Linked DNA regions of Schizosaccharomyces pombe. The gene in region 2 interacts genetically with the main gene of each other region. Each region holds a gene or a part of one and is shown on either strand. Other genes may lie near its edges.

What was found.
Region 1: of bqt4 (region 2) and csi1, changing one suppresses a phenotype caused by changing the other (phenotypic suppression), as found in Schizosaccharomyces pombe (one study listed by BioGRID).
Region 3: mutations in bqt4 (region 2) and lem2 are lethal when combined (synthetic lethality), as found in Schizosaccharomyces pombe (one study listed by BioGRID).

What each region holds. Positions count from the first base shown.
Region 1 is NC_003423.3:3,459,560-3,470,909, reverse strand, and holds csi1 (protein Csi1), read right to left. Parts: upstream 9,573-11,350; 5' UTR 9,471-9,572; coding exon 7,869-9,470; 3' UTR 7,696-7,868; coding exon of another isoform or gene 7,489-7,695; 3' UTR 7,449-7,488; coding exon of another isoform or gene 7,400-7,448; 3' UTR 7,354-7,399; coding exon of another isoform or gene 7,118-7,353; 3' UTR 7,077-7,117; downstream 1-7,076. Other genes in the region: cullin 1 adaptor protein Pop1, read right to left, coding at 1-1,567; beta-glucosidase Psu2, read left to right, coding at 3,381-4,340; mpi1 (mannose-6-phosphate isomerase), read right to left, coding at 4,758-5,870, 5,920-6,045; 2' O-ribose methyltransferase Mrm2, read left to right, coding at 6,863-6,976, 7,026-7,076, 7,118-7,353, 7,400-7,448, 7,489-7,695; dcd1 (deoxycytidylate deaminase), read left to right, coding at 10,676-10,995, 11,188-11,350.
Region 2 is NC_003423.3:2,837,935-2,848,552, reverse strand, and holds bqt4 (integral nuclear inner membrane protein Bqt4), read right to left. Parts: upstream 7,720-10,618; 5' UTR 7,697-7,719; coding exon 7,656-7,696; intron 7,619-7,655; coding exon 7,587-7,618; intron 7,548-7,586; coding exon 7,448-7,547; exon of another isoform or gene 7,386-7,447; coding exon 7,332-7,385; exon of another isoform or gene 7,286-7,331; coding exon 6,239-7,285; exon of another isoform or gene 6,226-6,238; intron 6,167-6,225; coding exon 6,142-6,166; 3' UTR 5,719-6,141; downstream 1-5,718. Other genes in the region: gcv3 (glycine decarboxylase complex subunit H), read right to left, coding at 1-30; Golgi alpha-1,2-mannosyltransferase Omh1, read left to right, coding at 1,458-2,630; SPOM_SPBC19C7.11 (ClC chloride channel), read right to left, coding at 2,974-4,452, 4,492-4,925, 4,968-5,219, 5,277-5,412; endonuclease Uve1, read left to right, coding at 8,968-10,618. UniProt on the Schizosaccharomyces pombe protein: Connects telomeres to the nuclear envelop (NE) during both vegetative growth and meiosis. This connection ensures clustering of telomeres to the spindle pole body (SPB) when cells enter meiotic prophase.
Region 3 is NC_003424.3:2,230,233-2,241,554, reverse strand, and holds lem2 (LEM domain nuclear inner membrane protein Heh1/Lem2), read right to left. Parts: upstream 7,278-11,322; 5' UTR 6,958-7,277; coding exon 4,891-6,957; 3' UTR 4,782-4,890; downstream 1-4,781. Other genes in the region: SPOM_SPAC18G6.13 (uncharacterized protein), read right to left, coding at 198-542; SPOM_SPAC18G6.12C (uncharacterized protein), read left to right, coding at 1,125-2,054; RNA polymerase I general transcription inititation factor subunit Rrn3, read left to right, coding at 2,760-4,559; protein Edc1, read left to right, coding at 7,468-8,406; rRNA (pseudouridine) methyltransferase Mra1, read left to right, coding at 10,143-11,222. UniProt on the Schizosaccharomyces pombe protein: Nucleus inner membrane protein involved in meiosis. Plays a role in regulating nuclear envelope (NE) morphology and nuclear integrity, particularly during spindle pole body (SPB) extrusion or insertion through the NE, and perhaps during karyokinesis.

The DNA.
Region 1 (11,350 bases), 620 kb from region 2:
GAGGCATTGAATTAGCATCATTTGAAGCTGGTCTGTTTTCTTTTTCCACATCATCAGTATCAGTAGTACTTTGATTGCCTTGAACTATTTTGATACAACGGATTGTTGACGTGTGTCCATAAAACACCTGTTTACATTCACCGGTTCTAAGGTCCCAGACTCTTACTGTCCTGTCTGTGGAGCCAGTAACCAAAGTATCCCCAACGTATTCAAAAGTCCAAACATCACCTTCATGCTCTTCTAAACTGCGTATCAGGACACCTGTTTTCGTGTCATATATATTAATTCTAGGACTGCAGGTGCTAACAATTATTTTGTCATCATCAAACTGAAGTTTGGTAATAAGACGAACTCCATGAATTGGGAATGAACATCGCTTAATTTTCTCCGGGGCATGGAGCCATCTTTCACGAAGATTAAAATGTCTAAAATAGACCCGCTTCATTATCGCACAGGCTGACAAAGATTGTTCTAAACACATCGTACGGATTTTACTATCAATTGAATCCCAAAAGAAACCATCTTTTAAAAAGAGACTTTTCCAAAGTTCTTCGTTGGACGATACCAACTTATACCAGTGATGCGAAACTTGCGAAACTGCACACAATGAAGGTGCATCTAAATGCGTAAGCACTAAATTTGTAATCTCAGCCGGAAATCCAGTTAAAAAGTTCTTTTGAAAGATAGGAAGCAGAATTTTGTGAATATTTTGAACAGCATGTTTTCCACATCGAGAAAGAAGATGAAAAAGTAAGTATTGACGAACACTTTCGGGTAATTTTTCGAAGGAAGAAATTAATTGTGCTAATTTCAAAACAGCATTTTTTTGAGAGCTCAAATGATTAGAAGGATGAATGCTAGGATTTTCTGAAGAAAAATCATATATGACAGGTTCATGCAAAGAATTATGTGAAGATGAAGATGAATGAGGGGGAAAAGATTGACGGGTTTTGGAATCGTTGCCGAGTAAATTAGGAGAAAAATAAGAGTAATTAACAGAATTATTTGGTGCATCAAGTGAGAATGTTGTTTCACTAGCGACTTCCTTACTGTCACAGTTGTTTGGGTAGAAAACGTTCGAGTAGTTAGTAGAAGGAAAAGTTTCATTCTTTTTATTCCCATCACTTTGAGAATTGAAGAGAAACCGCTTATTAGCATGCAAATTAGAGCTGAGACTAGAGTTACGGCGTTTAAGGCACTTTTCGCGATGCTCTGACGGCAGCTCACAACTCAAATGGGGCCGGTTAAGATCACAATGTAGATATAAAAGATTTTGCAAGTTTTCCAAATTTTCTTTATCAGATAAACATCGATTGTTAGTAAATATCATCGATTGCTGACTTCCCTTGCTATCAAATTGTAGACTAACACGACTAAGCTCCTCGGGAATTCTGGTCATTATATTATTTCCTTCCAGGAGATCTTTTTTAGTGGAACATGGAGAAAATCTCTCGACATTTGGCCGGGGAGAAGAGGAAACATCAATACTCGGTGATACCATAGTTGTCTCACCGAAAAATTCATTGGAATCTAAAACAGATAGGCTATCTTTTTTCTTCTCATTCATTTCAAGTAGTTTACAGACACTTAGTAGAAAAGTATTTGTCAAGTTCTTTTATGATGTTAGAGAACCTGGTTCAAGAATCGATACTGATGAATTTACTTAAAACAACTGCCCGTTGGGAAACATGTATATGAAATTATTTTGCAAATAGTTATCGTCTTAATGCATTAGAGCAATACTTTTTCTTGGTTTTTTTGAAGTTCAGCGAGATAGATCGTAAAGACCATAAACTCTTGGCAATGAATTTTAAATTCACTCTACGCAAGCGGAGGTGTAAGTAACACCAGAATAAGTAACAATTTTACTGTTGATTAAGAAAAGTTTTTATAGTTTATGGTAAATACGACTAAATCGCGACATAACAATAGTTCAATAAGAAAAGTTATATGACTTAGTTATGGCTCCTCAATATTATTTTTTTTTACATTATTTGCGATAGTGTTTTAATTGTATACCAGATATTAACCTCCTCAGCATTTTCAAATAAATTCTCTAAAGACAAAAACAATGAACACGTGAAGTATTCATATTATAAAATTGTCTTTTCCGTTGCGTTTTTGCAGCTAAAGAATGCAGACACAATAGTAGCTCGCGAATTTCATTACACGCCAATAAAGTTGGGAAAGAGATTACCCTCCCCTGTCATATTCTAAATGACACGGACACATATAATAATTTATTAATAAAATTTGAGCATGAGCGTAAAATGTAAAATGTCAGACTAAGATGGCGTTTCTAGTACATCATTTTCTTAGGCCGTTGAAAGAAATTTTTTGTCTCGTCAATGACATGCATCGGGTAATTTCGGCAGGCATTGGGCTATTATTCGACTTCTCTCCATTCAAAATTTGACTTAATCTCAGTATCCAAAGAAGCGTCAAATACGCTACCAAGATAAATAATTAAATTGTTATCCGTAAAAGTTCTTAGCATAGCAAACCGATAAACCGAGTGTAAACACGATATTAATTAATTAATATTATATCATATTTAATGAGCTGCAGAACATCATTTGCCGAAATGCACCGAGCCTCTTATATCTAGGATGATTTGTATGTACCAGATTACTTTCCCAAGAGATTATTAAATATATTTAATAGTATTAGGAGAAAATCAATATAACGTTGAGTCGAGCCAACGTATTTGTAAGTTAGGTATACAGGGATGTCATTAGGCTTACGTACACCGCGCAATTCAATTGCAAAAGGCCCAGGGGACCAAGAACTTCCTTATGATAAGAAAGCTAAAGCGATAAACAAAAATTAAATTACTTGGCTTGGAAATAATAATAATTTGCTTTGAAATGAATGATTGAACGCCCCGCGACCCCGGGACAGTATAAATTTTCCTGGGGTAGATCAAATTCACGCATTTAATTGGTTGAATTTATCAACTGACTTTTAAGTTCATTTTTAATTAAGTTATCAGCCAATGAATACAAAGCCGATAGCAAGGCAAGCAATGATTGGAGCGCAATAGTTGACTGTTTTGGCGCTAATTATTTCGGGTTTATGGTTAGAAATTTTCTGAAAAAATCAACGTTGAAAACTTACAGGCTTTCATGGTTAATTAGTGGCAAAACGCCACGGCTCTTAATCAAAAGATGGTGAAGTGCTTGAAAAAAGAAATGTATATAAAGCTGAGCTGATTTTTAGGGAAAAGCCGTGAGCTGAAATTAAACAATCAGAACCGCAAAAGGTAAAGACCATTATATTCTTTACCATCTTTCTTTTATTTTCTAGTATCAAGTTACTAGCATATCCTATCGTTTATAAAGTCAATCGTTAGATTCCTGTCAAATCTTTTAAATCTAAAAATGCTCTTTAACAACTTTCTTTGTTTTGCGGTTTCCGCCATTCCTTTGGTTTCAGCTATGCCTCTTGGTAATGCTCCCTATCACCATCACCATCATGCCGGTTTGAATGCTAGCAATATAACTGTTGGTGTCAATGTCACAAACACTACCGCTTTTTCAAAAAGAGACGGTGGTTTTCCTGACGGCGTATACGACTGCTCCTCTTTTCCTGATGATCAAAATGGCGTTGTCCGCCTTGATTACTTAGGTTTTGGAGGATGGTCTGGTGTTCAGAAGAATGATGGTAAATACGGAACAGCTTCTACATGCCAAGATAACACATACTGTTCCTATGCATGCAAGCCCGGAATGTCTAAGACCCAATGGCCGTCTGAGCAGCCTGACAATGGCGTTTCCGTTGGTGGTTTGTATTGCAAGAACGGTAAATTATATCTCACCCAGAAGGATAATTCTAATCTTTGTGAAGATGGAAAGGGTACTGCCTATGTTAAAAATACATTGAGTTCCAATGTCGCAATTTGCCGTACCGATTACCCCGGAACTGAGAACATGAATATCCCTACCAATATTGATGGTGGTTCAAAACAACCTCTTTCTGATGTTGATGAAGATTCATACTATAATTGGGGAGGAAAGAAGACATCCGCTCAATACTATGTTAATAAATCTGGCAGAAGTGCAGAAGATGTCTGTGTTTGGGGTAATGAGGGCGATGATTATGGCAATTGGGCTCCTATGAACTTCGGGTCTGGTTACACTGACGGCAAGACTTGGCTTTCTATGTCTTTCAATCCTTTATCATCTGCTAAACTTGATTACAATATCCGTATTAAATCTGATGGTGGGTCCCTTAGTGGTGATTGCTACTATGAAGACGGATCATTCCATGGTTCCACCGCTGACAGCAGTGGTTGTACAGTCTCTGTCACCGGAGGCAATGCCTACTTTGAGTTGTACTAAATTGCGTGTTAAAAGTGGATGCTTGGTCAAAAAAATTTGTTTATTAGAATTATTTTTGCATTCGTTTTACTTTTGTCATTCCCATTTTTATGCTTTATTTCGTTGTTGATTAGTTTTCGCATTTTTTTTCTGGTTTCATTTTTTTTATTTTTTTCATTTTTTTCATTTTTCTTCTGGATTCATTTTTTATTTTATTTTTGGGGTTCATCTTCTTCATTTCATTTTTTTGTCTATATTTCTTCTCTACATTTTGTTACATTTCTTAAAAACGCTCATTATTTATGCATTGCATCTACGAAAAAATAAATTTGTTTTTACTTAATTTTGTCCATCCTATCCAGTATCGTTAAAAATTTAAAAATTCCATGTATTGTTTTATTATAATGGTGCTGATAGTAGTAAAAAGCTGCAGAGTAACTAAATCTCACAGAATGCCTGGTAAACGACAACAGGTTCTGAAGTCGCAGAGATCGTTAATGGAAAATTTGCGGAAATAAAATAAACAAATCCAGGAGATATCGATGCTACATCTCCTTTGTCTCCATTCAATATGCCTGAACCCTCAGTAACAAGTAAAATGCTAGGGCCATTGATTCCGCGTATGCATTGTTTTTGACCAGGAGAAACCTTGGTTTGCAAAATGCTAAACTCTTCGATCGGGGGATCATATAACAGAGTTTTGCCAGATCCACAAGCTTTGGCAAATGGTACAGGTTGGGTAAGTTGGGATTTGGCATCCGCAGTCTGATAAGTGAGATTATTTACGAGAGTTTCTATGTCCTTAAACTTTGGCGTAAAGCCAAGACGGATAACGTTATCACTGGCAGCCATGCACTCAATTATATTTCCAGAAACATAAGCATGTGGATCTAAGGCACGAAGAAAAACGGCTTCTCCTGGATGTAATCGAACGTAGTTAAGAAAAGGAGTAACAAATAATCCGATGTCATCCGGAAATTGACTATTGAGATGAATAATTAAATCGCTAAATGCTTTTCCGCCGTATTCCGTTCCACCAAAGTTGTTAGCATCACTTTTTGCTAGTTGAACAAGCTGAGGAGTAAATTCTTGAATCCTTTTTTCGTCTTTGTGCATTAACTCATTAAATAAAGTTTCCAATGCTTTTCTCTCGTCTTGCTTCACGGTACCTTTAAATTGACGAACAGCTTCTTCACCGACAAATTCACGCAAAGGAGCTATACTGTCAAGGAACTGTTCGATTTGCTTTACTGGTCGAAAACCACAAAGAGCGTCGAATTCTGTCAATGCAACTGCCATTTCTGGCTTATGATTATCGTCCTTGTACTCTTTCGGATTCGTTTTGTGAAGTTGTTTACCAAGGGGTTTGTCAGGATGAGCCTGAATAGACAGCACCTTATTTATCGATAAAACTTTGAATAAAAAGGGGAGTTGTTTCCCATATTTCTTGTACACTTTTTCTCCAACGGTTTCTGGAGTTAACAACTCACTCAACGGCTTACCAGTTTGCATAACAAAGGAAGGGCCAGAAGGATGAGAACCCATCCACAACTGTATAGAAAATTCAATTAGTATAGAATTAACCAAGCCTTTTGCATACCTCAGCGTATGGGGTATTAGGATCAACCTCGAAACCGTATCCAGCCTCAGCTAATTTCGCGGCTAAAGACTCGTGACCAACTTTTCCCCATCCATAACTTTTAACATCACATTTGAGACGATACATAATTAATTAAATTCAAGATTTCTTTATAAGCCTTTATTTGGCTGTGAGAACGAATTATACGATGAACGACGGCTTATAGCGTGGATACGTGCTACTAGATGAACCTTACCTTCAAAACTAAGGAAGCACATAATGCATATGGTTATAGCCAATACTATAGTTCATTATTTTTATTTTAGCGGTAATTTATGTATATTTTTAATCATAAATAGTGAATTTTATAGATTTATTGTGTATTACTTAAGTTGCTTACTATGCAGTTTGGTATCTATTTTACAATCATAAATTGCGGTGTGTTTACTGGTAATTTATAAAATCGCGGTATGCAATATGAATAGCAGTCCTATTAATATTAGTTTACGAAGTTTATAGCCAATCATTAATATAGCTTGCAAAATTTTTAACCCGATATCTCTAGGTATCTGTGTGAATAATACGGATAGTCTTTTACAATTATCAATAAACGAATTTGCTAGTATTTTTATGGCAAATAGTGACAGGTAACGTAGCGTCATATAGCGTAAAATACAGTACTTAATCCATTCAATGCTCGTAAAGAAGCAACTGTGAAATAGATTGAGACGGCTGTACTTTGATTAGAGTTATTTTCTTCATCTGGTTTATTAAAGTAATATTTTTACGTTTTAGAAATTAAACCATCTACTAGAATAAAAAAAGCGATTAGTCCTTTTTAGACACGTTTGATGAAAGAATAAATAAAACCACTATTTTTTTAACTTAATAAATTCTGTCATACTTCAATTCATATTTTGGTAAAAATTTGATCTAGTATTCACAAACACTTTGGGTTTAGGAGATGTTTGGCTCCAAAACTCTTTTTTCTTGGGCAGCTAAGCGTTCAAAAGATTTCTATCGAAAAAAAAGTAAAATCGACAATTTCCGGTCGAGAGCAGCATACAAATTAATAGAGGTACTGTTACCACGTCGATACGATTTTGGATAATAATACTAATTGATAGTTGAATTCCAAATACAGATTTATTAATAAAGAAGATGTGGTGATTGACGTGGTATTAAATTATCTAATTATCATAAGCCTAACGTTTTTAAGGGATTTGCACCTGGATCATGGTCGCAAGTAGCAAAAAAGTTAGTTGGAAATAAAGGGAAAGTAATAGGCATTGATATTCAGCACATAGCTCCACCAGAAGGGGTATTACCCATCTACGGTGATATTCGTGATCCAAACACCCTGACTAAACTATTCGAGGCTTTACGGCTACTACATGAGCCTAATACGAATGATAGCATTGATTGTCGGGTGGTCGACGCTGTTATAAGTGATATGTAATTAAATACAGGGTCTAAAATATATTTACATCTAACATCCTAGGCTTCATAAGGCTACAGGGATTCGGATCCGGGATCATGCTCTCTCCATGGTAAATACATTTCTTGTAAATTTTCTCTGACCTACTATAGGAACTCTGTGCATCTGCGCTTCATGTTGCATTAACCTTTTTAAAATCAAATGGCTCGTTTATTTGTAAATTTTACATGGGGGATGAAGATGCCGACTTACAAAATTTGTTGAAATCTCACTTTAGGTTCGTCCAAGTGATGAAACCGAAAGCCTCTTTAAAAGAGTCACGGGAAGCGTATTTTGTTTGCTTGGAACGCAAGCCCTAAAATGTGTCAATTTTCGTTGTGAAAGGAGAACATTAATTGAAAATATTTAATATACCAAAAGGAGTCTAAAGATACTGTTGCATTAATTCCGTATTATAAAAGTTGTCAGATGAAGCGTAAACTAAAGAACAATCGCCTGCGATAGGTTTTAGGTTAAGCACTAAAGTGCCTCCTCAAGAAGTATGGTTTTTTAGTCGCTCCTGCATTTTTTCCCTTAATTTTGCAAGCGCATCCTTCGTTTCAGCAACGCCATCTCTTGTATGCTTCAGTCCTTCATGAACTGGGATATGGGAGCGCCTGAGCCCAGGAGACGAAACAGGGGGTGATGCAGCTGAATTAGAAAGGGAAGGGTGTTTATTTGCAAGTTGGTTCCACCTTGCCTTTGGAATTGGTGTAAGTTGTTCCAACGTAGCGGTATCGGCCTGTAAAGACTGGTTCTCCGACAACACATTTACTTTACTTTCATCGACACTAGCTGACTCATTGTCTTTCAAAGGCGTCGCTTTTGTAAATTTCATAGGTGATTGTATCGTTTGTGTATTGTGATAACTTTCAAATGAGGAACTAGTAGTTGCTGCATCTTTTCTAGCTCTGATAGAAAAAGGCGAATTTGAATATTCTTTCCTCCCTAGATTAGTCGGTTGACTCTCTGTCACTTTAAAATGACTTTGCAAATTATTATCAAGATAGAGATCATTTGAAGTAACTTTATCAATATTAGATGAGCTTTTTATAGTCAAATTATCAGCCTTTCCAGATGATTTGGGACTTCGAAGATTCAATAAATTTTGATTTTCTTCAGCTTCATTCAATTTTAAATTATTATTGGAGTTGAGAAAGGAAGTCCGGTTTAGTTCGTTAATTAACAGAGGTTCTTCCAAGGTATCCGAACTTTCTTCATGGATATCATCTGAATCTTCTAAGTTTTGAATTAAACCCCTTTCAGTGTTCATTGAAGCTCCTGGGTATGCATGATCGGTTTTTTTATTACTATTCGGACTATTCGACTGTCTCCCCCAATTCTTTTTTGCTCTTGCTGAACTTGAAACAAAAGACCGGTGCTGTTGGACTGGACTTTTAACGTTAGATGGTGGAGCAAAAGATGGGCTAAGACTAACTGAACGCTCACAATGAGAAATCCTTTCCTGCAGGCTTTGTAAATTTTCTTCAATACTTTTTAAACGCTCAACAAGGATGGAAAATTCAGGGTTCGTAAGCGAAGACTCATCATAACGATTATTGTGCGCTTTATTGTTGCTATCTTTCGAAATCGCTTTTAAGTTTGCTTCAAGGGAATTGAAATGAGAATCAGATAAGCTAGTAACACCTTCTAGCGATCTAGGAGCCGAATGAGATTTCGCGTCAGATTTTGGAGGTACAAATCGAAATCGCGGAGGGGGAGCGCTTGCAGGTGTTAAGTATGCCATGTCAAAAGAGTGATCTTGATTTAAATCTACCAATGGCTTAATTCGATCCTCATCTGAGATACGAATTTTAGATGCACTTAAGTGAGTAAAATTTTGTGATTGTGTACCAGCATTAGGTATTGACTCTTCATCTTTTTTTTGATCATTTAAAATATTTTTTCTTCGCTTAGGTGATAGGGAAGGCTCCTTCGATGGCCGTCGCTTTCGCTTTGAGGGTGAGTGATTCTTAACCACTGACTCACTAATTTGACCTTGTTGGCTTCGCTCCCATTCCAAATAATCGTTTTTTGTATCATTCCATAATTTCTTTAATTTTCCCAGCAGTCCAGCTGCAGGATTGAAACTCATCTCATGCCCAAATTATTTGGTGATTTAAATTCTAAATTCTTTGCAAACTGACTTCAATAATTATAGGAGTTACAAGATCGTGATTAACAATAATTTGCAACCAAAGGGTTATTAAACCTCAGGAAACTTGACAAAATTACGATCTTACCGAGCTCTACAGTACGGTCGTGAGTATTACCTAGTACACGTTAATGGCTTAATGCTTATTATGTAGTCTGTAATTAGCTTTAATGATACGTTAAATCACCAACAATCATCACTTATGTTGCTGTGAGCTCGATTATTAATTAAGTTGGTACGTGAAGTTAACCTTCTAACTTACTACTGAAGCTGCTCATAACTCAACCTCTTCCTCAGTCCAGTTGAGTTCTGTAGTGTTTTAATTTCCCGAAAACAAAAAAATTTTCCAATATCATTAAATAGGATGTTGAGAAAAAGAATATGTGCCACATATAAATATCATTGTTGAATTGCTGACTTGACAATTAATGCTAGGCCTACGATGCAATAGTAATCTAACCGTAAACATAATTTTACGAACGATTAGTATGTAATTACTGGACTTTTAGAAGAATTCTGAATATTCGCACATAAAAAATATTATTCGACAGATTCCATCGTTTCACATGAGTTTACATGAAATGCGCTCATTATCAAATTTGATGTGATGAACATTAATTAGATAAAAATGGTTTCATTGTTAGTTGAATGCGTTTGTTCCGAGTTTCTCCTTAACAATATACAGTTAATGATCTTATTGTTGTTGCTGTTGAAGTACACAGCACTTAAGTACAACTTTTGAGTGCTCTAAACTTTAGCGTGACCAGCAAAAGAGAGGTCAATACACTTAAAACCAAAAACGACTTTATTCGAATTCACTAAAAGGATTTTTTAGATTCTTGGTCCAGTACAGTGAAACGTAAAATCTGAAATATTCAAGGATTCGTGAAGATTTGGAAGCAAATAGTTTTTAATCTCATTAAATATATATTTTATTTTTTAAAAAGATTACAGATTATAGAAGCATAGTTTTACGAAATTGAAAGTTAGCATTTTCGCAACTCGTTGTTGGTATTGATAGTTAGTATCATTAGGTATGTGAGTACGTTAAAACCGATCTATCTCTAACTATTTGGGGAGATAATCAAACTGAAATACGTTTCTTAAGCTTAAGTAGCTTTGTTTGATTTATTAAGCAAATAAATATGCCAACTGTTGGTCTTACAGGGCCATTATGTAGTGGAAAAGATGCCGTTGTTGAATACCTTGAGACAAAGCATGGTTTCAATGCTATTTTTCGATTACCACAACTAAACGAGGATGGAGAATATATATATAGAACTGGCGATTTAGTCCTTGGCAGCGTTGACGATCTTATTAGCTATCTCACTCCAAGATGGCGCGAAAGATTTGTAATTAATGGAATTCATAGTCCACGTTTGTTAAGTGCATTGCTCAAACGTCCGTTCTTTTTGCTTGTATATATTGATGCCCCAATTATGCTCAGGTTCAATCGCTACAAAACGTATGTAATATTGCAATGTCAACATGTTGTTGCTAACTTTAAATTCATTGTCATTATTCTTCACGCAATGTGTTCAGTGTAAGGACCTTAATATCTTGTTAGTTTCATTCATTTCATGCTCGAAATTACACGGTTACATAAGCTCCTCATGATTAACTGAATATTGCGTGAAATAATAATGATGACATATAGTTATTCTTCTCTTGCGAATACCACACTTGAAGAATTTTGTAGTATCCAAGACGCGGCTGCATTTCAATCTGATAATGCTGGAACTCGACACCGAGCATTGGCTAATTTACTTATAAATAATGATAGCAATATTAAACTTCATCTATGGGAGAAGCTTCAAAAA
Region 2 (10,618 bases):
ACCAGAGCGAAGGGCAGAACGAGCTAACATGTTAGGACTTGCAAATTTTATTCGTAGCTAAAAAGGATGGTAAGTCGTTAACTTCGTAGAGCAGACAAATAATGCAATAACGAAACCGCGCGATGTATCAGTGCTTTATAGCGTCCTGCGTTGTACTCTGGCATATTTAAAATGTATACAAGTACAAATTCACTAACTTGTTTTAAGATACGTTATTTCCTATCTATCGTACTAGTAAGCTAACTCAGTTGCCAATTCTAATTAACTATAACAGTATATACGTCTCTCTATAGATGTATAAGAAAATATACCGTTATTGCTATAAGGAATTACGCTTGTATGTTGATTTTATTAATGAATCAGTTCTGTTCCTCTTAAGTAAAAGCAATATTTGCATAGGTTAATAAGTCTACTTGCTTGTTCACTTAACCTTACAATAATTATGTTTCTTCTTTCAATTTTGAAAAACGTAATTGCTTGACTTAGCTTTAGACAACTTGAACGTGCATTCAATAAATTTGCCTACCCTATAATATCTGGGAGATATATATTAACAAATATGTAAGGCAAGTAGTTGCTACATTACCGTTTTTCTTTTTGAACTAGCTGATAAAATCTTTAAAGTCCTAGAGGAAAGGTAATCCTAGTTAACCATAACTGTCAAATGTACAATGCTAAAAACAAAGTATTATTACAGACATCTGACGTTACGATCTGCAATACTGGTGTAAGCGAAACTTCTCCATCTAGTTGAAATGTACAATGATAGTACTGAAAATTTTTGATTTATAGCCTTTAACCTATGAACAGTCAGAGGAATTTAGAAAAAAAAAATTTTTTTCAGAAATGTTAACTTTTTATTCAACTTGATTTCTAGCCTAGTTTTTTGCTAAAATAATGTTATTTAAGTATGTATAATAAATAATTGCTAGACTGTAAAACTCAAAGAATCGATCGGTCTAATTTTACTTTGGACAACTCAATAACGTAAATACTGTAACTGTGCCTGCACCATTCTCACTCAGCCACCACCATTAATTGATAAAAGCTTGCTCACTATTAGAATTTCCTTATAACCAACATAGAGAAATTCTTTTTAATTTTCTACTTATACTTTTTGAGTAACATAGCAATCACTTCATTTACTGACTGGTGCTTGGACTTATATATTAGCTTTGTAGAGTTACTACTATCAAAGTAGTTACATTTAATAATTTGCATAGGATTCAATTGTTTCCTTCTCCAGTGTACTTTTAGTTCACATTCGGTTATTTATCTATTGGTTTATTGGAAGCCATATTCGAAGTACTATAGTGAAAATCAAAACTTGCAATTTCACTGGTTTTCCTTCGGCTGTTTATTTCATTTTTTTGTACTAGAAGAATAACGGTCTCTTTAAAGACTTTTTACCCGACTTACAGAATCTATAAATATAGCATTTCTATTTTTAATGCAAAATGGTTCGCTTGCCAAGAAAGTTCAAACGTGTTTTACTTTTAGTGGTATTACTTACATTGGTTGTATTTGTACGTTTCAAAAAGCAATACATCCCAACTATCAGTGTATTTGAGGGCAGTCTGATTGACAATCGAGATACTCTTTCGTATTTCAATATTTCTAATCTAGAGCCCTCAGAACGCTCCGAATGGCTTCCAAATAAACGGGTTAATGCTGCCTTTGTTACGTTGGCAAGAAATGAAGATTTGAATGATTTACTTAAATCAATCCGAAAACTTGAGAAGACTTTCAATCATAAATATCATTATGGATGGGTTTTCCTTAACAATGAGGAGTTCTCTGACGAATTTAAGGAGCATGTTATTGAAGCGGTCTCTGGCAAATGTGAATTTGGTTTGGTACCTCAGGAACAATGGAGCATTCCGGAATATATTGACCAAGACAAAATGCATGAAAATTGGAAAAAACTTCAAGAATTAGGAATTCTTTATGCTGACAAAGAATCTTATCGTCACATGTGTCGCTTTGAGTCTGGTTTCTTTTATCGTCATCCTCTTGTTCAGAAGTACGAATATTATTGGAGAGTTGAACCTAGTGTGGATTTCTTTTGCGACCTCGATTTCGATCCATTTGCTTATATGAAGGAAAATAACAAGGCGTATGCATTCACTATCACTGTAACTGAATATTCAGAAACAATTCCTTCTCTTTGGCCCTCTACCAAAGAATTCATCAAAATGCACCCTAATGCTCTTCATCCTAATAATGCTCTAAACTTCATATCTAATGATGATGGGGAAACTTATAACGGATGTCATTTTTGGACTAATTTTGAAATTGCGAAAGTTGATTTTTGGGAAAGTGAAGTTTATAGTAAATATTTTGACTACCTTGATAAAAGTGGTAATTTCTTCTATGAGCGTTGGGGTGATGCTCCAGTTCATAGCATTGCTGTTTCGTTGTTCGCTGATCGTGACAATATCCATTTTTTCAATGAGATTGGCTATTGGCATCCTGGTAGCGGTCATTGTCCTTTGGATGATGCTACACGCGCTAAATGCGACTGTGATCCTTATGAATCCATTGATTATAATGGATGGAGCTGTCTAGATAAATTCTATACCGCATTTGAAATGCCTTTCCCCGAAAACTGGTCTTTTTATAGCCATTAATTCTTTCACATGGCTTAAAATGTCAGATTTGCTTTAAAAAGCTCAGTTTGTTTTTAAGTCGCAATTTATGCTTTCCATTTATTTTTATTTACTTCGTCATTTCTCTTCTCATTTTTTTTGAAAAGCTTTCAACGGTTAATTGGTTTGCTATTACTTTATGAGCCTACTTTTTTCATTTTGTACCGTATATTTCTTTACACCTTCTGATAGACTATGTCTTCCGAAATTAACTTCGTTATCGATTTTAGTCACTTTCGTTTATACAGTTCTTGCTTTCGTACTATTGAAGCATCAACTTTTTAGCCATACTTAATTCTCCCTTCAATGAAACTATTACATTTTATCATTCTATGTTTAATTTTAAGGGCTTTAGTTCTATGTTTTCATAGCTGTCGTTGATCCTTTCTGTAGAAACTGCACGATGACGATTAGCAGGATTCACTAAATCATTATCTTCTTGGTAATATTTGGATGCAAGTAATAAATCCTTTTTTGAGATTAAGCCAACTAAATTTCCGTCTTTTTCGATAAAAATCACACTTGGACTTAAGACTTCGAATAAAACAGCGACATTTGCAATGCTCTGCGTATGTAATACAGAAATAGGGTTCACATCCATATACGCTGAAAGATCTATTCTATCTGATTCACCGAATTTAGAGGACTTACTATCGCCAACTGAATCAACCTTTCCGAAACACAACTGCTGATCAAAAGTAAATGAAGGCTCTAGTTTTGCAGCCTCAAAAGAACTCTTCAGTGATGATTTCTTAAGATAGCCTATTAAATAATTAGATCGTGAATCTAAAACAACAGGATATCCGCTAAAGTCGTAACCTTCCATCATTCCTAACAGCTTTCTCCATGTAAATCCGATACTAGGAATGGTTATTAAATTGCTAGCCATCACTTCAGTAATGGGTATATTTATGGTATTGGAGCTATTAATGGATTTTTCTGGTTCAAGTAAGGGTAATCCATTAATCTCAATGCTACGATCAGCTATACCTGTTTTTCCCAGCATATTGCCAATGGAATTTGCAAGTGCCACGACAAGTACGGTAGGTAATATGAAGTTTAAGGCACCTGTTAATTCAAACATAATAACAACGATCGTGACCGTCAAATGCATTATACCGCTGAGAGAAGCTGCTGCTCCAAGGAGCGCATAGGTACCTGGAGTGATACAGCTTTCAGAACCATGACAAGCTAAGAATAAAACTGAGTTTGGAAACCTTTGATAAATCATCTCTGCTATCAAACCAATCATATAGCCAAACGAGGCACCTACCGCCATAGAAGGAACAAAGATGCCAGCAGGAACCTTGGCTCCGTACGAGAAGGTAACAAATATTGTTCTTGCAAATGTAGCAATCAAAAGCAAAATAGTATTTTTAGTCCTTAGAGAAGGGTCACAAAGATTAATTAACTCAGGTGAGCTACTTGACTTACATTCTTGGAAAAGCAATTCCATCCCAAGGGTCATGTCCAAACGTAACCAAGGATTTAAGAAACTTACCAAGGATGTTATTACGGTGACAAAAGCAGCATCGAGAACACCCCATCGAGACAAGTATTTTTTGCGTAGTTTTTGAATTAAGAAAAATAAGCGCATTACAAATTCACCGTATAAACCTCCAAAAATTCCTAGAAAACAAAAAAAAAGAAGCTCAAAAAAATGCCAGGATCCAGAGTAGCGAACCTCAAATAAAACAACTTGCCCTGTACGAAATGGATTTAGCATATGCAAAACACCAACGGCCGATAAACAACAGAAAAATGAATATACTATCATTTTTGGGTCATAACCACCAGACATTTCCTTAAAAGAATTAGTCAAAATCTCTATAAACTTTCCTACCTCAATACCGAAAAGCACACCTCCAATAGGGGATCCAAATGCAACAGCGACTCCGGAAGCAGCAGAAGCAACACAAATATCCCTATATCTAATAGATCCTTCCCTGGCATATTTGAATATCTTAGATATATTATGCCCGATGGTAGTAGCTAAATGTACACTGGGTCCCTCCTTCCCAACGGAAAGACCACTAGCGATGGCTAATGGCAAACCAACGCATTTTACCAACATAACACGAAAAGATAAGAAACTATCTCTTAAAAAACCGCTTATGATACATTTAATCTCTGAGATTCCACTACCAGCTGCTAAAGGAGCAACATCTCTTACCATAATCGCAGCACATAACACAAAAAGTAAAGCGAAGGCCGTGTATATAAGGTAATTTAGGGAAAACTTGTAAGTCCAGGGTTTCCATGCAGTACACGAGGAACCTTGAAACGTTAGATCATTGTACAAGTCATGTTTGAACATACCCATAGTTTCGCTATACCAACAGCAGAATTTCTCATTGTAATACCAATGACTAGTACAATATCCCCTTCGTATGTCCGATAGCCAAGAGGTAACTATGTCAAGCATATAAGCCGCAAACCCAACTGTTGTTCCTATGATACTGAGAATAAACCATGAATAACCAACATTCCATATTCTCCACAACTTGGACCAACGGCTTTGATCAATTACGTTTTCTTCATTTTGCTCGTTAATTATTTCATTAACTCTGTCTTTAAAAGTTGTCAGTAAATAGTAGTCAAATGCTTTCGAAGCTTGAAAAACCATACCGTCCGTTTCAAAATTATCAATACCGGAACCTTCTCTATTAAAAAAATATTTTTTTTTCCTTTCATTTTCATCCAAAGATCGACGTTCCGCCTGATCAAAAGAACTTGAGGAATCTGCTCTCTTTTGAGAGGACATTGATGATATAATCTAATGTGGAGAATATCAGAATTGAAGAAAATGCTCTTGTTTTTCTCCTTTGTATATCAAAAATTGATCACTAGCATTTATTATTGTATGGTAGGCAAATCGCAAGCATTAATTGCACTTTTCCAAAACTTTGTCCTCAACCTTGAATATAGTATGTTAAGGGTGTAAACCGAGCGAATTTTATTACTTATGAAGTAAGAAATATTGAAGTTGGAATATAAACAATGCACATTTGTAATATCTTCATAGTAAAAGAAGATTCTATTTTCGACTCTCTTTAGTTTTCTATAGTAGTTAGTTATTCGTTAGTCGTACAAATGTTACTTTTTGCTATTTTGCTAGATAAGTTTAAAATAGGAAAATTTAATGAAACAAAACTAAAGCAAAGTACAGTAATCAATATAACTTGGAAAAATCACATTCCGCAATAAATTGGAAACAATACACTTCCCAGGACTAAAACAACTTCATATAAGTGATAAAACATTAAGATAACCAAATAGTGCACTAGAATCAATCGGAAATTAAGTTATTTCAGCCCTAAATCAATCTGAAGCAGGTCTCCAATCCCAAATCATAATCGAAAGTAAGTAAAAAGTCATCAAGTCAATTGATTTTCACATTAAACACGAAAAACTACATCAACAAATTAAAGCACATATGTCACATTAAATTCTAACATCCAGTAGTTTCAAAATGGTAAAGGGCCCTATTAAATTAAAATAGAAAAGGTAAAATTGCGCTGCGAAAGATAGTTAGTAAATGATTTTAAATCCAGGGAAAAGACCAATTATCACAATCATTGAATACTTACCCTACACCCAAACCAATAGCAATACCACCAAGTGCTCTGACTTTCCGCTTTTCATAGTAAACTTCGCTTTCCAGTTTGGTGATACGCGACCTTTTCACAGGTACCATAGCATTGTAATCCTCGTTTTCCTCAAAATCCTCTCTACTTCTCTTCTTTGACTTTGGAGAGGATCGAATGGAAGATTTCAAAGTATCCCCAATGCTCTTTTCCAAATTCTCGAACTTCTTTTCCAACTTTCCGACAGGTTTTCTTACTTGGCTTGCAACACCAGTTACACCTTTGTTAACTTGATTAGCGACACCATTCATGCCTTTGTTGACCTGGCTTGCAACACCATTCACGCCCTTGTTAACTTGACTGGCAACATCGGTCATGCCTCTGTTAACTTGACTGGCAACGTCAGTCATGCCCTTATTGACACTTGACCTAATCTTTCCAAGAAGAGAAGGCTTGATAGGTGTCTTAATCTTTCTATCTTGGATATCAGATGTTTTTTCCTCCTCCTCAGAGGGTTGATCTTTAGAGGTTGATCCTTTTGCTTTATCATCCGAAGAAGAGGGTTGACCTACTTTTTCAGTAGAACTACCGCCTTCCTGCTTCTTGATTTCTGGCTCTTTCTTCTCAGACTTAATTTCATCCTTCGTTTCATTCTCTTCGGAATGTATTTCCTTGTCTTCTTCTTTATTATCATGTTGGAGGATTGTCTTTTTGGAATTCTCCAGATGTTCAGCAAGACGCTGACGTGTGCGCCTAGCAACAGAAGTGGTAGTGGCAGATGTCGAAGATTCAGGTTCCCCCTCAGATGTCTCTGATTTCTGCGCAGTGGGGCGTGAAGGAGTCGCATAAGTTGAAGGAGTGGAGGATGCCTCTAACAAGGCGTTAATAAACGGGGTCATGCTGTAGTCTTTGGCAAGAGCCAAGGCATCTGCAGGAGGCACCCATAGTCCAGCAACACGTTTGTCTTCAATTGGGTTTAAATTATCACGAATCCATCTCATTTCCAAGTCTTCTTCTTCTTGGGTAGCCTTAGGGAAAGCTGAACGAAACCTAATCGGGTTTAGATTTTTAGAAAAAGATATGAAAAAACGCTTACATTGACGTAGCACTAATGCTTGAATCCTTTGCCATCCTCATAAGAAAGTGAGGTCTATATTTATATACATCATTAGTATTTTTCCAAAAACAACACTGCAAAAAAAAGATAATTACACTTTAGATTCCGGATTTGTACACTTGAGACGAACAAAAGTAGCTGGTCCATCAGGAAATTCTATTACCTGAGCGCGACACTTTGGGATTAATGGTGTATCTGCTATATTAGTTTCACGTAATTTCGGGAAGCGCGTACGGTCAAGTGTATCGTCTTTATAGAGAGGGTTTCTAATATCAATTAGTCGTTTTCTTTAAATATACGAACCTTTCAGCAGGTAAAGACCTGCTTTTCTCATTCTCAGTCATGGTATTCAATTAAGGGGAAAGGTAACAATTAATCGCCGTCGTCGACGTTTGTATAATTCCTCTCTTACAACGTTTATGTAATAGCTGATTGTATAGAGCAATAGTGGTGCTACCTTAAATGATAATATCGAGTGATGCTAGGACGTACTTCGTTATAAACTATGTGCAAAGCAAGAATTACTAATTCTTTAAACACCTCGAGGTCATGTATAGTCGATGCTTATGCTGAAATGTAATGTTAATATTGTTTATTTGAAGATTCAATGTGGTTCCAATTTTTTACGCTTTTCTGTTGGGATACAAACTTAAGGAAAATATTCACACGCGGGCAGCACGCTGCCAAATGTTAAATATAAGAAGCGCTGATCATTTATTTCTGCTAGAAGTTTGTTTTGTCAATCGATCAGCCAGGTCGGCAAAAACGATGCGGCAGTAAGAAGCGTTCTTCATGCTACTGGTTGTAATAGTATTTGCAGAAAAAACCAATCGTTTCGCTGATGCAGCTATCTACGGTTCTAAAGATATACTGTATTTTATCGTAAACAATTCGCTTCGTTTACTCTACCTACATTGCGATTTCGCAATGATGGCTTCTCAACCAACTCATTAATGCTGATGGTATTAAATCTATTGTGAATTACACGGTAATTGTTTGTATATTTTTAAAGATGTCCATGTCAGCAGAAAGCAGCATTAAGACGGTTCATAATACAATATAAATGACCCGAATCCGCCTACTTCTGCTTCCCATACACACATATGCTACAGATGGTAAAATAAATTGTCGCGACTCCTTGACTTGGCCAAATTTTCATTTCAAATGTTTTTTCCTATCTGCTGTTTTTTTGATTGTTCAACTGAATCTGCAATTATTAAAGAGAAAGCAACACAATCTTTTTACTTAACATTGTATTGCTAAACTAAGCTCGATTTGAGAAACCAAAATTTCCTCGTAAAAGCAGTCCTATCTACACTGAACAATAACTGTCAAAAGTTGAATCCCTTGAGCATCAGTAATCTCATGGCCTTCCAATAAAATCATAGCGAATTTTGACGTAACAATGATACAAAACCATTTTTGGTTTACTGGGAATGAAAGAAGATTTGTCTTCACACTCGTTGATTTTGACTAGTATTGAGTCTCAATCACTTCTTGTCGATATCTCTTTTCACTTACAAGATAATAGTTGTAGGGATATAAGCAAGTTTGCGAAGGGCTTATTTCCTTCTAAATAATGTCATATTGATACTAAAATCGTTTTCATTTTTTAATGCTTAGGCTATTGAAACGAAATATTCAAATCTCTAAACGCATTGTTTTCACCATATTAAAACAAAAGGCATTTAAAGGTAATCATCCTTGTGTACCGTCGGTTTGTACCATTACTTACTCTCGTTTTCATTGTTTACCCGATACCCTTAAAAGTTTACTTCCAATGAGCTCAAAAACCACACTCTCAATGTTACCGCAAGTTAATATCGGTGCGAATTCATTCTCTGCCGAAACACCAGTCGACTTAAAAAAAGAAAATGAGACTGAGTTAGCTAATATCAGTGGACCTCACAAAAAAAGTACTTCTACGTCTACACGAAAGAGGGCACGTAGCAGTAAAAAGAAAGCGACAGATTCTGTTTCCGATAAAATTGATGAGTCTGTTGCGTCCTATGATTCTTCAACTCATCTTAGGCGATCGTCGAGATCAAAAAAACCGGTCAACTACAATTCCTCGTCAGAATCCGAATCGGAGGAGCAAATTAGTAAAGCTACTAAAAAAGTTAAACAAAAAGAGGAAGAGGAGTATGTTGAAGAAGTCGACGAAAAGTCTCTTAAAAATGAAAGTAGCTCTGACGAGTTCGAACCGGTTGTGCCGGAACAGTTGGAAACTCCAATTTCTAAACGAAGACGGTCTCGTTCTTCTGCAAAAAATTTAGAAAAAGAATCTACAATGAATCTTGATGATCATGCTCCACGAGAGATGTTTGATTGTTTGGACAAACCCATACCCTGGCGAGGACGATTGGGGTATGCTTGTTTGAATACTATTTTAAGGTCAATGAAGGAGAGGGTTTTTTGTTCACGCACCTGCCGAATTACAACCATTCAACGTGATGGGCTCGAAAGTGTCAAGCAGCTAGGTACGCAAAATGTTTTAGATTTAATCAAATTGGTTGAGTGGAATCACAACTTTGGCATTCACTTCATGAGAGTGAGTTCTGATTTATTTCCTTTCGCAAGCCATGCAAAGTATGGATATACCCTTGAATTTGCACAATCTCATCTCGAGGAGGTGGGCAAGCTGGCAAATAAATATAATCATCGATTGACTATGCATCCTGGTCAGTACACCCAGATAGCCTCTCCACGAGAAGTCGTAGTTGATTCGGCAATACGTGATTTGGCTTATCATGATGAAATTCTCAGTCGTATGAAGTTGAATGAACAATTAAATAAAGACGCTGTTTTAATTATTCACCTTGGTGGTACCTTTGAAGGAAAAAAAGAAACATTGGATAGGTTTCGTAAAAATTATCAACGCTTGTCTGATTCGGTTAAAGCTCGTTTAGTTTTAGAAAACGATGATGTTTCTTGGTCAGTTCAAGATTTATTACCTTTATGCCAAGAACTTAATATTCCTCTAGTTTTGGATTGGCATCATCACAACATAGTGCCAGGAACGCTTCGTGAAGGAAGTTTAGATTTAATGCCATTAATCCCAACTATTCGAGAAACCTGGACAAGAAAGGGAATTACACAGAAGCAACATTACTCAGAATCGGCTGATCCAACGGCGATTTCTGGGATGAAACGACGTGCTCACTCTGATAGGGTGTTTGACTTTCCACCGTGTGATCCTACAATGGATCTAATGATAGAAGCTAAGGAAAAGGAACAGGCTGTATTTGAATTGTGTAGACGTTATG
Region 3 (11,322 bases), on a different chromosome or scaffold from region 2:
GCTGGTCCATTAAGTTTATAATGATGAAAACAGTGCAATGTCATCCTAAACTTCTTAGAAATTGTCGTAGGTTCAAGGGACAGATAAGCGATCGTTAAATTGCAAACTTCAATTCGTTGTTCATGTGATTTACCATTGCAGATAGCTTTATAATATAATTTTTTAATCAAATAAATCAGAGAATAGCAAGCAAAGCACTAAGCCTCCATTTCTACATCTTCCCATTCAACTAGCTCAGATTCAACGGAGGTATTCTGCGTTGTATACACTCTGAACGGAAGAACAGGTAAATTCGGAGGATAAATTTCCTTCACAATTTTAATGTGGTCGTCAGTTTTAAGATATTGTGAGATAATTCCCGTCATCGGAACTGTAAATCCTTCTTTAAGTATTTGAAGCCTCCAATCCGCACATCCTCCATTAAACATCCATATGGCATGGCATAAATCTGCCACACAATTAACAGAGTCAACTAATTCAAGACTAGAAGTCTCAACCCATTGTTGAATTGGAAATTCGGTGCAGGAGACTTTGAGCCGCATACTAGTTCATAGAGGGTTAAAGTAGGAATTAAAAGTACAGAAAAAGCAACAGTTTCCTTGCCCATGTAAATTAATGTTGGTGAATTGATGAAATGTCCTGAATGCTAAGTTAGTTTGTAAAACTAAGTCCTTTTACAGATTCGATTAATTTCATATATTTGATCAGGCCAGCATAATTGATGAAAACCTATTACATTGTATTCTACAGTTATAAGCAACAAAAAGATCTATGCTTTTGTACAAATTGTTAAAAAAGTATTTCTACCAATTAGGTGATTTGTAAATAATCAAATACATAAATTATATATGATCAGCAAGTCAAACCACTACCCATTGAACGAAGCTTTGGAAGAAGCGAAAGGCGTTCTGAATACCGCTAAATTTTTGTAAAAAATCGAAACCCTGTAGAATCGTGTCATTTTGGTTGACCTAAACATAAGGTAATATATTAAGGGGGTCAATCATCCCTTTACCCACTTTTCCAGGTTTCTTGTGTAAGACATATAACTAATATACAATCTACAGTGCTATTAATTTTAAATTGTTTTTTAAAAAAGGAGGATTAACTGGTTTTTAAGCACGATGGCATTTTCCTTTCAGGTTTCAAAAATGAACTCATTTGACAACTATAATGCTGCAATTCATCCCAAGCACGACCTCATTTCAGTGAATGCTCCGGTATTTGGTAAGGATGCCAAATTGTCGCCTCATTTAGCTATCGTTTTAGCTGATAAGGGGTTCATGTTGGAGCAAGTATGTCTACCTTGGAGGTATTTTACAGATCGCGGGTTTGTAGTTGAATTCGTAATCGCCGAATCCATATTTCCTCCAAGACCCCCGAAACCTAATGATTCTTATATGACCGGCTGGAAGAGTCATGTACTCGGTGCTTCTAAGGAAATCTTAGACATATATAGCGTTCTCTGTACTCTGAATGAGTTCAACAATCCAAAATGCTATCGATCAAATGGTTTTACGTTTGATAATTTTAGTGCTGTTTTCATAACTGGAGGGAGAAATCCATTCGTGCGTGAGATGCTAGAAGACCCACTTTTACATGCCAGCCTGGTTCCTTACATCCATTCATGTCGTACAATTCAACCGGATGAAGAGGTTAAGGATAACAGAAAGATCAAAGTGTTAGGTGCCATTAGCCAGGGTGCGGCTGCAATTTATTTGGCAGAGCCTAACATCAACATGAAGACTACCACTATTCCTGCATGGATGGAGCGCTCAAATTCCTTTTTAAACCCAACACCGGATAACTCTACTTATCCCTATGCTGCCACTATAATCCCTAAGGATAAATACGTTTCTGGTCCATATCGTCGTGTCGCTTTTACATACCAGGATGAAAACTACTATTATATTTCAGGAAGAAGTAACAAGGATATTGGCGAATTATCGAAAAAAATGTATTTAATGTACAAACAGGCATACAAAGATTTAAATGCATCTTTGAGAGAGCGCCGCAGACGTTCTACTAGTAATCGAAGGAACTCTGGTATTTGAAGAAAACAATTATCACGCTTTATTTATTCTGTTTAATTGATTTTCGATCCGGTTTTATTTGGAAGATCCCTACTTTTCTTTGTTTAATATTACACTTAATTTGGTATCTACATAGTTTTTAACTTAGCATACATTAGAAATCGGTATCTATATTGCATTGTTTAGCAAAGAGCGCAATGCGCTGCATTTCAGTATATACTCAAATTTTCTTTACAAACTGTTAGCATAGTTTCTGCCAACCGCCACACATGGTTTGCTTTTACGTTGAATGAATTAATGATCACTCTTATAATTTAAATTTGTTTTATCTTACAAATTTATTTTGATTATTTTATCTGACTCATTTGAGACACCGAAAAGTTTTTGGGGTGTAAAATTCATTCGTGGGAAGTCCTGTAAATTTCTAAAAATTTAGCTTTTCGAAGCAAATTAACGGCTTAGTTTTTGGAAATTGTAAGGAAATGTTTTATTAATAAGAGAGATATAGCAATGTTTGGTTTTTTAAGCAATTGGGTCAACTTGACTTGAAACAGTTTATTTCCACATTTACTTTACTCTTAAGTTTTGGTTTAACTTTGAAACTAACTATTACAAAGTTTAGAATAACCATACGTGAATTTATCCGCTAGTGTTATTCTTATTATTTTTTTGTTTGCATCCATTCCTTTATCTGTGATTAGTGCAAGTGTTTATCTCGTCTTTACAATGCCTTCCATCATTTCCTCTACGAATCCTCAATATATTAATAAATGTGTTAACAACGGGACAATGGCATCTTCTACAAATGTTCCCGATCGTACTGTAGGTTCCAAAAGTTTTGCCTCTTCAGTTTCCAAAAATGATGGACGATTAATGCAACAAATGTTACGTGCTTTCGTCAATAAAGCTTTGGACGACAAAGCAGAAGGAAATTTTGCCGGTTATGAAGATCTTAGAAGACAGTTTGCTGCAAAAAGTGATACTAAAGATGCACCTTCCTCTCTGCAACTTCAAAACTTATTGTCGGCTTTGACGTGCAATGTTTCCAGATTGGATAGCTCTAATTCTTCTTTAGTTATGAGCGTACTAGATTCTGTTTGGGTGAGCAGAGATGAGTCCTTTGTGAGATGCTATACTCGATTTTTAGGAAATCTCATATCTGCACAATCTAATTACTTGCCGCTAGTTATGACTATGCTGATTCAGCATATGTTGTATCGGCCTGATAGTTTAGCAATCCATTATGAACATGCTCATATGGCTTTAAAATATGTGTTGGAACTTGTTCCCCGTGCGCATTCCTTCTTGTATAGTAGCATACTTGAGGAGTTTCCGTACAAGGACGAGAGCCTTTTAGCACAGATGACTTATATTTCGAACGTTTTAAGTATATGTGAATATGTACCATCAATTAAAGGTCCTGTATTGCATGCAATAATTGATAAAATTATCCAAATTGATGTGGAAATACAAGTAGAGGTTGATGATGATGATGAGGAGGAGGATGAAGTGGTAACAGATGATGATGGAACTAGCAATGCCGATTCTGAAGTTATTACAGCTTCAACGTTATATGAACGGCATACTGCTATTTCAAGTGAAATGACATCTAGCACAATATTGACTCCTCCCTCATTAACAGACACTCGTCAATTGATGCAGCAACTGGATCAGCTATTGTATACTTTATTTTCTTATTTAGATTCCAATTTAAAATCTACTAGTAGAGATCGTTACTTGGTTTATAATAGTTTGATTAAATCATTTGTGAACACGGTCCTTAAAACGTTCCGTTGTCGATATACTCAATTTTTGATATTTTGGGCTTCTCAGTTGGATCCCGAGTTTACTGATATTTTCCTTGGAGTGCTTACGGAAGTTTGTCTTGACCCATCACAACCTTATACTTTAAGATTAAGTGGTGCAATGTATATTGGGTCTTACGTTGCTAGAGCCAAAGCTTTAGAAAAAAATACAATTCAGATCATCGTTAATATGATGACTCGTTGGGTTGAAGCTTACTTAGATCAATGTGAAAACGAGCTGTCCGATGATTTACTATCTAAACACTCGGTTTTTTACGCAATTAATCAAAGTATTTTTTACATATTTTGCTTTCGTTGGCGTGAACTTTGTGTCTCTGATGAGTCTGAATCCATGGAGCCAAGACCTAACGAATGGATACCGGGCTTAGAGATACTTCATCGGTCCGTTCTTTCTCGGCTTAATCCATTGAGATACTGTTCCCCCAATATTGTACTTCAATTTGCAAAGGTTGCAAATCATCTCAATTTTATGTACGTCTATTCCATTATTGAGCAAAACAGAAAAGGAATTTTTAGAGAAGGGTTCGACACTATGGATGCCTATTTTCCCTTTGATCCTTACCGGCTTACGAAGTCTTCTATAATTGTTCAACCATTTTATAACGAATGGCAACAAATTCCAGGTTTGGATGATGACGAGGAAGAAGAAGACACAGACTACGAATCTTCAACCGTAATGTTGGGTGAATCTCCCTTTTGAATTCCTTTATTTTTTTTTAAATACCCTTTCTATGTGACATGTCCTATTTTTTCTCCGCTAATTTCTTACTCTAGACATGCCCATATTCAATCAAAAATGGTACTGGTTTTGGTTTTTATTTTAAAATAATTTATTTGGTATAACTAAGAATCACATTAATATAAGAAATACAGTTAAATTTCATCAACCTTGCAAACAAGTCCTCATTATACCAATTTTATGTTTCATTTTTAATATGTATAAGCATTCAGATAAATATATTATTAACTTACTTTTGTATTAGCTATGAAAAATGTCATAAATACAAAGCTAGAAATACAGTCGAGAATCATTATTCACGTAAAGGGGAAGTTGTATTAATAAATGAACGATCGGTTTGGAAATCCAAAGTATTTGTGCCGACCCACTCCCATACACGGGTCCATTCGCCGTCTACTTCTGATTCACGAGTTCTTACACTGCCAACTTGTTCAACACGTTCGACTATTGCTTCCCAAAGAGTTCGAGCAGTTGCTTTCGTCATATGAATTTGTTCCAATGGGCCATTTCCATGAAAGAGTATATCATGCATTTCGATTAGTGGTATAACGGGTTCTTGAGATCGAGACATTTGATAATTTGCTTTCTGTCTCTTCAAAGATTCTACACAGAATCGAGAAGCCGATGGTAGATACTTTGCTACGATACTGCGAGTACGAAAAAAATTGATGAGCTTAAAAATAACTCCTGACAACGCAAGGATTCCAAATAAAAAAACTTTGTTCCTCCAAACAAATTTTATCAGTTGCTGTTTTAAACGACACCGCAAAGGAATACCTGCCCAGCTATCGTAGCAAATTAATTTTGAATCCATGACAACTTCATTCGTTTCAGAAAGTACTGCCAAAGAAGCTTTAAATAAGTCCTCAAACATTTCAAGGCCAAGGGTTGGAGATTTTCTTTCAAGAAGCGTATCATGTAATAATCCTAACGCAAATGGTTTTGATGGGAAGGAGATATGATCAGATGATATATTAAGATTATCGGCGACATAAGGGTGCGCATTGTACGACATATTTCGTTCCAGCAAATCTGACGAGTTATTGCTACAATGCAAAATTGCATTCCAGGATCTTAATACACTTAAACATTCTTCACGAAAAATATTAACACTTTCTTCTCTAGAAGTATCACTAACGCAATACTTGGAGGGCCAAAATCCTAAACTTGAATACCATGGTTCGTAGAGGACATATCCGGGCTTGCATTCAACGTAATTTGGAGAGGGACATATTGCATTCGGAGGGCAAGTTCTACACAATGATGGAAAACTTATTCCAAGAATTGAAGCAGAACTTCCACTGGCACCCGAATCACAGAATCCTGCTGTAAACATTTTCTCCCGTAATAAAGCCAGAAAAATTGCTGCCACCACTCCTAATAAAATCATAAAAATATGCACTAAATAAGAAGAAGATATCGCGCTGATTCCAGGAAAGGCGCGCAAATTGTGAAGAAGACGATAATTGGCGTACTTAATGTCGTGAAATACTTTTTTAATAAACGACCAAAGTTTGCTTTCTTTTCGAGTCTGCTGCAAAACGTAATTTTGAAAAAGCTCGTCATCTTCCTCAGCAGAGTCTACTTCAGAATAAGGCGATGAAGATTCAGAGGGCCTTGCACTGTCAAGAGGAGCAAACTCGATATCTCGAGAGACTCGCTCAGGAACATTAGTAAAGGGTCGTTTATGTTGAAGAGGACTAGAAGTGGCTGAAGTTTGTAGACGATGTGATATTTTGGGAGACCTCAATTGTGGAGAAAAATTGTTTGAAGATGAAAGCAGCTTTAACCTCTCCGAAAATGCTGGCGAAGTATGTAAAGCAGAGCTATCCATAAATGACATAGGAACAGCTACCCTATGAGATTTATGCGAGCGAAATTTTGGTGTAGACGCGTGGGCTGGCGGAGTTTTCATAGTCAGCGATGTTTCCACATTAGGGCTCAATTCAGAATAGGACTGAAAGGTATTATTTTGAGAGACGTGCGGAGACTCTATTTTAACCGGGGTTTCAATGTTGCTAGGTTTGTCAATGAATTGTGGAGACAGAAGCGGTTCTGTTTCGTTGTGTGGCTTTTTCGTGCTTTTGGAAGGAGAGGAGGGATAAAGGTATTTAGGAGCTATTTCATCCTCGGAGCTAGACGCTTTTGAGGTGTTAGAGTTTTCCTCTTTTTGAAGATGAGACAATAAATGTTGTGGACCAGAGCTTAATTTGTTTTTCCGTATTCTATCCACCATCCTAATATACTCTATTTTTCTGGCATTCACAGGGAATGACACTCCCGATTCATGAAGGATCTTTTTCAAGTCTATGACACGAAGATTTCGCAATTCGAAGTTAGGGTCCTCCCAATTGTCCATGGTGAATAATTCAAACTGATCAAAAATGGTATAAAGCTGATATAAGCTAGTTAATTACATGAATCCTTATCTACATTAAAAAGGAAACCTGGCATAAGTTGCTGATTCGTGAACGTAATTGCAATCCCATACAAATTTATAATATTACAGCAATGAGCTATAATATACTTAGGAAATTGCTTGAATTCCACTGTTCAAACACACCTTTTCAAATTTAATAAAAGACTTCACTAAACGAAGGTAAAGCAATTTCTTATTTCTCTATCTTTGTGCCGAATCTTTGTTTTCCTTCTTTCTTTTTGCCAGTTAAAGTGGGTGGCAAATAATGGTTAAGGGAAGAAAGCTCTATAAGGAGGCATAGCGCAGCTCATTGCTTTGTGTCACCTCAGCCCAAATAACGTATATTGGGTAAGAGTGTTGCCCCCGAAGTTATCCTTAACCAACATCAATCACTAAGAATACAGAATCCATGATCATTAGGGATTACTCGAATTTTGACTATAGTAAAAAATGCAAAAAGACATTGGACGTAGATTTCAACGTAATAAGAAGAAAATTAATTCTAAACCGGGCGGAGCAATGGTTGCTTCCAGCGATGTCGAGTTCAGTTTAGATGGAATGTCGATTATGCCCCAACGAGATGGTAATCTCCAGATACCTAACTTTGTGAAACCCAAGAGTACTTTTGCTACTTCTAACATTGGTGAAAGCAATGGTAAGCGAAATGGCGATAAAGTACGCGGGAATCGACGCTCTAAATCTGGTCACAGTTCGTATGCTGGCTCTCGTATCTCAGGTGGCAATTCTAATTCCCACCTTCCTTCTGGTGTTGCTTCGGCTCCTGCTGGCTTAGGAATTGATAAGGTTGCCGTCGGAGAAGTTGATTCTCATTTGAAGTCTGTATCTTCTTACGTTTCCAATTCTTCCGGTGCTGATCGATCTTTTTCTTCGAATTCCTCTTCCGATACTAATTCCATTCTTTACGCCGGTCCTACATTTACTCATTCTCCGGCCGCTTCTAATCTTCCCATCCCTACGTTCTTACACTCTCCCGTTTCCGAAAAGGCTGAATGGCAACCTCCTACTGGTAGTGTGAACTCAAACATGCCTTTCCAGTTTCATCAATCTTCCTCTGTTCCTTCAACCCCATCCGAAGTTGCCATGGGTCATAATTTTTGTCCGATGTCTCGTAACGATCCCTCATTGCAGAGTATTCAACAGACGAATGGATTTTACAGTGGACACAATTCTCCTCATACTAACTATTCAGCTTCCACTCCTTCTTTTAATCACTTCAATGCTGCCGGCCATCCCACTGGTAACATTACCCCTACTTTGAATTCCCCTAATAACGGCATTCATTGTCATTCTACTTCTGCCCTAGACTTATTGTTTCATCGCGATCGTGAACAGCGCTTGTTCCGTATGCTGCGTCAAGGAAGTGCATAGTTTCATTGGATGCTTATTTATGTCTAAGGACATATCACCTTTTTAAGCCTCGTGTTCTGTTCTAACTATTCCACTTTTTTGTTTCACCTTCTTTCGTCTCCGCGTTTATCTACACGTGTTCGTTGTAGCACTATTTATTTGAACATTGGCCAAGAGAATTTATCATAGTCTAGTATTTTTGCTAGTATTATGACTTTCTTACTATCACCCTATGTACCTCTGTCTTTCTGTTTTTTTGGATTATAGAATTTAGCTCTCTATATGGGTTAATTTTGTTTCCTTCGCTTTTGGTTTTTAGAGGATTTCATACAAAAGCTACTGAATTCCTTTTCTAACGGCTTATAGTTAAAAGAAATGCCAACGTTTTTAATGGATTTCTTGGATTTGAAATCTTGATTTTTATTGACTAGATTTCCTTAACTTCATCTTATTCCTTGTTAGTTAATTGAGCGAGCAATTCATTTATAATATGGAAATGTTCGTCAATGACTATTTATCGAAAATGTGCCTCGTTTACTTTTCGATTTGTATGCTTAGAATGGGCATTTGTTACCTTTTTTATGAGCGTTGGGTGTTATGATCTGCATATTGCATTAATTTTATTCTGGCTAGTTTTTATTATGCTATTAATAATCTCGTTGTGCTTTTATCGAGATTTGTTTGAAACTTGTTTCACCGGTCTCGTACATTTTTTTCTCTTGTGTTTTTTTCTTTTAATTTTCCTAATTATTACTGACGTGTTGCCTATTGCTTTGCGATGACAGTACATCTTATTTTCCTGTGTCGAGGATTATAGTTATAATCTTCTTTTCCTCTCATGAACTTGGCTTTGGTTGCCAACCTTTTAAACTTTCGTCCATGATATACATGATGTTTGCTAATATAAGTGATATTTATGTGGTCACCTTTTTTGGCGAATGTTGTAACCTATCTTCTACGCTCAAGGAGTACATGCAATGTGCTTTATGCTTTTTTTTTTTTGAATGTTTGCAATTTTCAAGCCCTCGGTTTTTGAGCTTTCATTGCTAGTCAAGATAGTCAACTTATCGTTGATTATAATATCTTTCACTCGCAAATCGTTTTTACGTAAAGACTGAATTACGGCAACATTTATTGCTCTTATTTGTAAATAGTTTTGGAATCATTTCTTTTTAAAACTTTAAATTTATCTCTTTCCTTCATTGTTTACAAATAATGTTGCATTAAGTGGTGATTTAGTTTTTCTAATATAAACACATATTTCCGTCACTGATGTGTCGCGTTTGTGTATTTATCCACCTGATATGTGCAACAGTATTAGAAGGCACGGTTTTTCTGTGTGTTGACGATACCTGTTTACACATTCCTTTTAATCCACTTCCTTTACTTCTTTTCCGTTTTTTTTTTATTTTTATTTTTATTTTTTTTTTTTTTGCTGAAGATGGACTTATATTACCTGCATTTTTTTAGTTAATATAGAATTCATTGAAAACAAATTTTCGGCGTGTGTAGATTTTTTATAATTTTTTTGTTGATTTAGATAAGTCATTGTTTTGTTCAGCTCAATGCGCGAGTGATATGTTTGGTTTTACACTTGTTGGTTTAAGCGGATCGTAAGTTCGTAAATATGCGTTATCTTGTTTAAGCAAGGTAGGTTAGATCTGATAGTTATTTGTAGCTACCACCAAAAGCAAATTTCTCAAGCCATTATTTTTTGTCGAAACCCAATATCTGGTAGACTAGCTTTTTCATCATTCATGCCTACTTATTCCAAAAGGAAGTCTAGAGGCTCTTTAGAGGTTTCTGAGAAAACCAATCAACCCAAATTCATAAAGAGAAGTCAATCGAGTGAAACAATAACGTCAGGTGAAACTGCTAGTGAATTGATGCAAGATGAAAAGGAGCAGAGTAATGGTGCAGTAGGTTCTATTGAAGATGAAGAATTACAACGACTTCGTGAGAATCAAGCTTCTGTTGAAGCTCTTTCGAAAAAGCCAGAGTCTATCGATCGAGAGTTGGGTGTTGAGGCTTTAGAAATAGATAATGTAGTAAAGTCAGATGAAGAAAAGGAGGATCCCAATGGTGCTTCTTCCAAAACCGTCAAAGCTCGTCCACTTCCTGCAGGGTCGGTTCATCGTGTTACTACCCATATGGCGCCAATACCAGCGAGGTCAATTGGTTCTCATGATACTACAACACAGCGTTTGATTGTCGTATTGGACCAAGCATGTTTGGAAATTTATAAAGTTGGCAAGGCTAAGGATGCAAAATATCAACTTCTAAATTGCGATGATCATCAAGGTATTTTAAAAAAGTTAAACCGTAACATTGCTCAAGCGCGTCCTGATATTACTCATCAATGCTTATTGACTCTTTTGGATTCTCCACTGAATAAGGCAGGTCGTCTTCAAGTGTACATTCACACAGCTAAGAAAGTTTTGATTGAAGTGAATCCCTCTGTTCGTATTCCTAGAACTTTCAAACGTTTTTCCGGTTTGATGGTGCAGCTTCTTCACAAGCTCTCTATTCGTAGTGTGAATGGCAATGAAAAGCTTCTAAAGGTGATCAAAAATCCAGTTACAGACTACCTTCCTCCGAACTGTCGAAAGGCAACATTATCTTTTGATGCTCCTACTGTTCCTCCTCGCAAGTATCTTGAGACTTTACAGCCCAACCAATCGGTTTGTATTGCAATTGGTGCTATGGCTCATGGTCCGGACGATTTTTCGGATGGTTGGGTTGACGAAAAAATCAGTATTAGTGACTACCCTCTGAGTGCAAGTATTGCTTGCTCTAAATTTCTTCATTCTATGGAAGACTTTCTAGGAATTGTATAATTATTAAGGTAAAAATTTTTGCATTGTCTTCATTGTTATTCAGCTTATATCCTGTGCTATAGATATTCACTTTTTGATATAGCTTGAATTTTTTGGTACG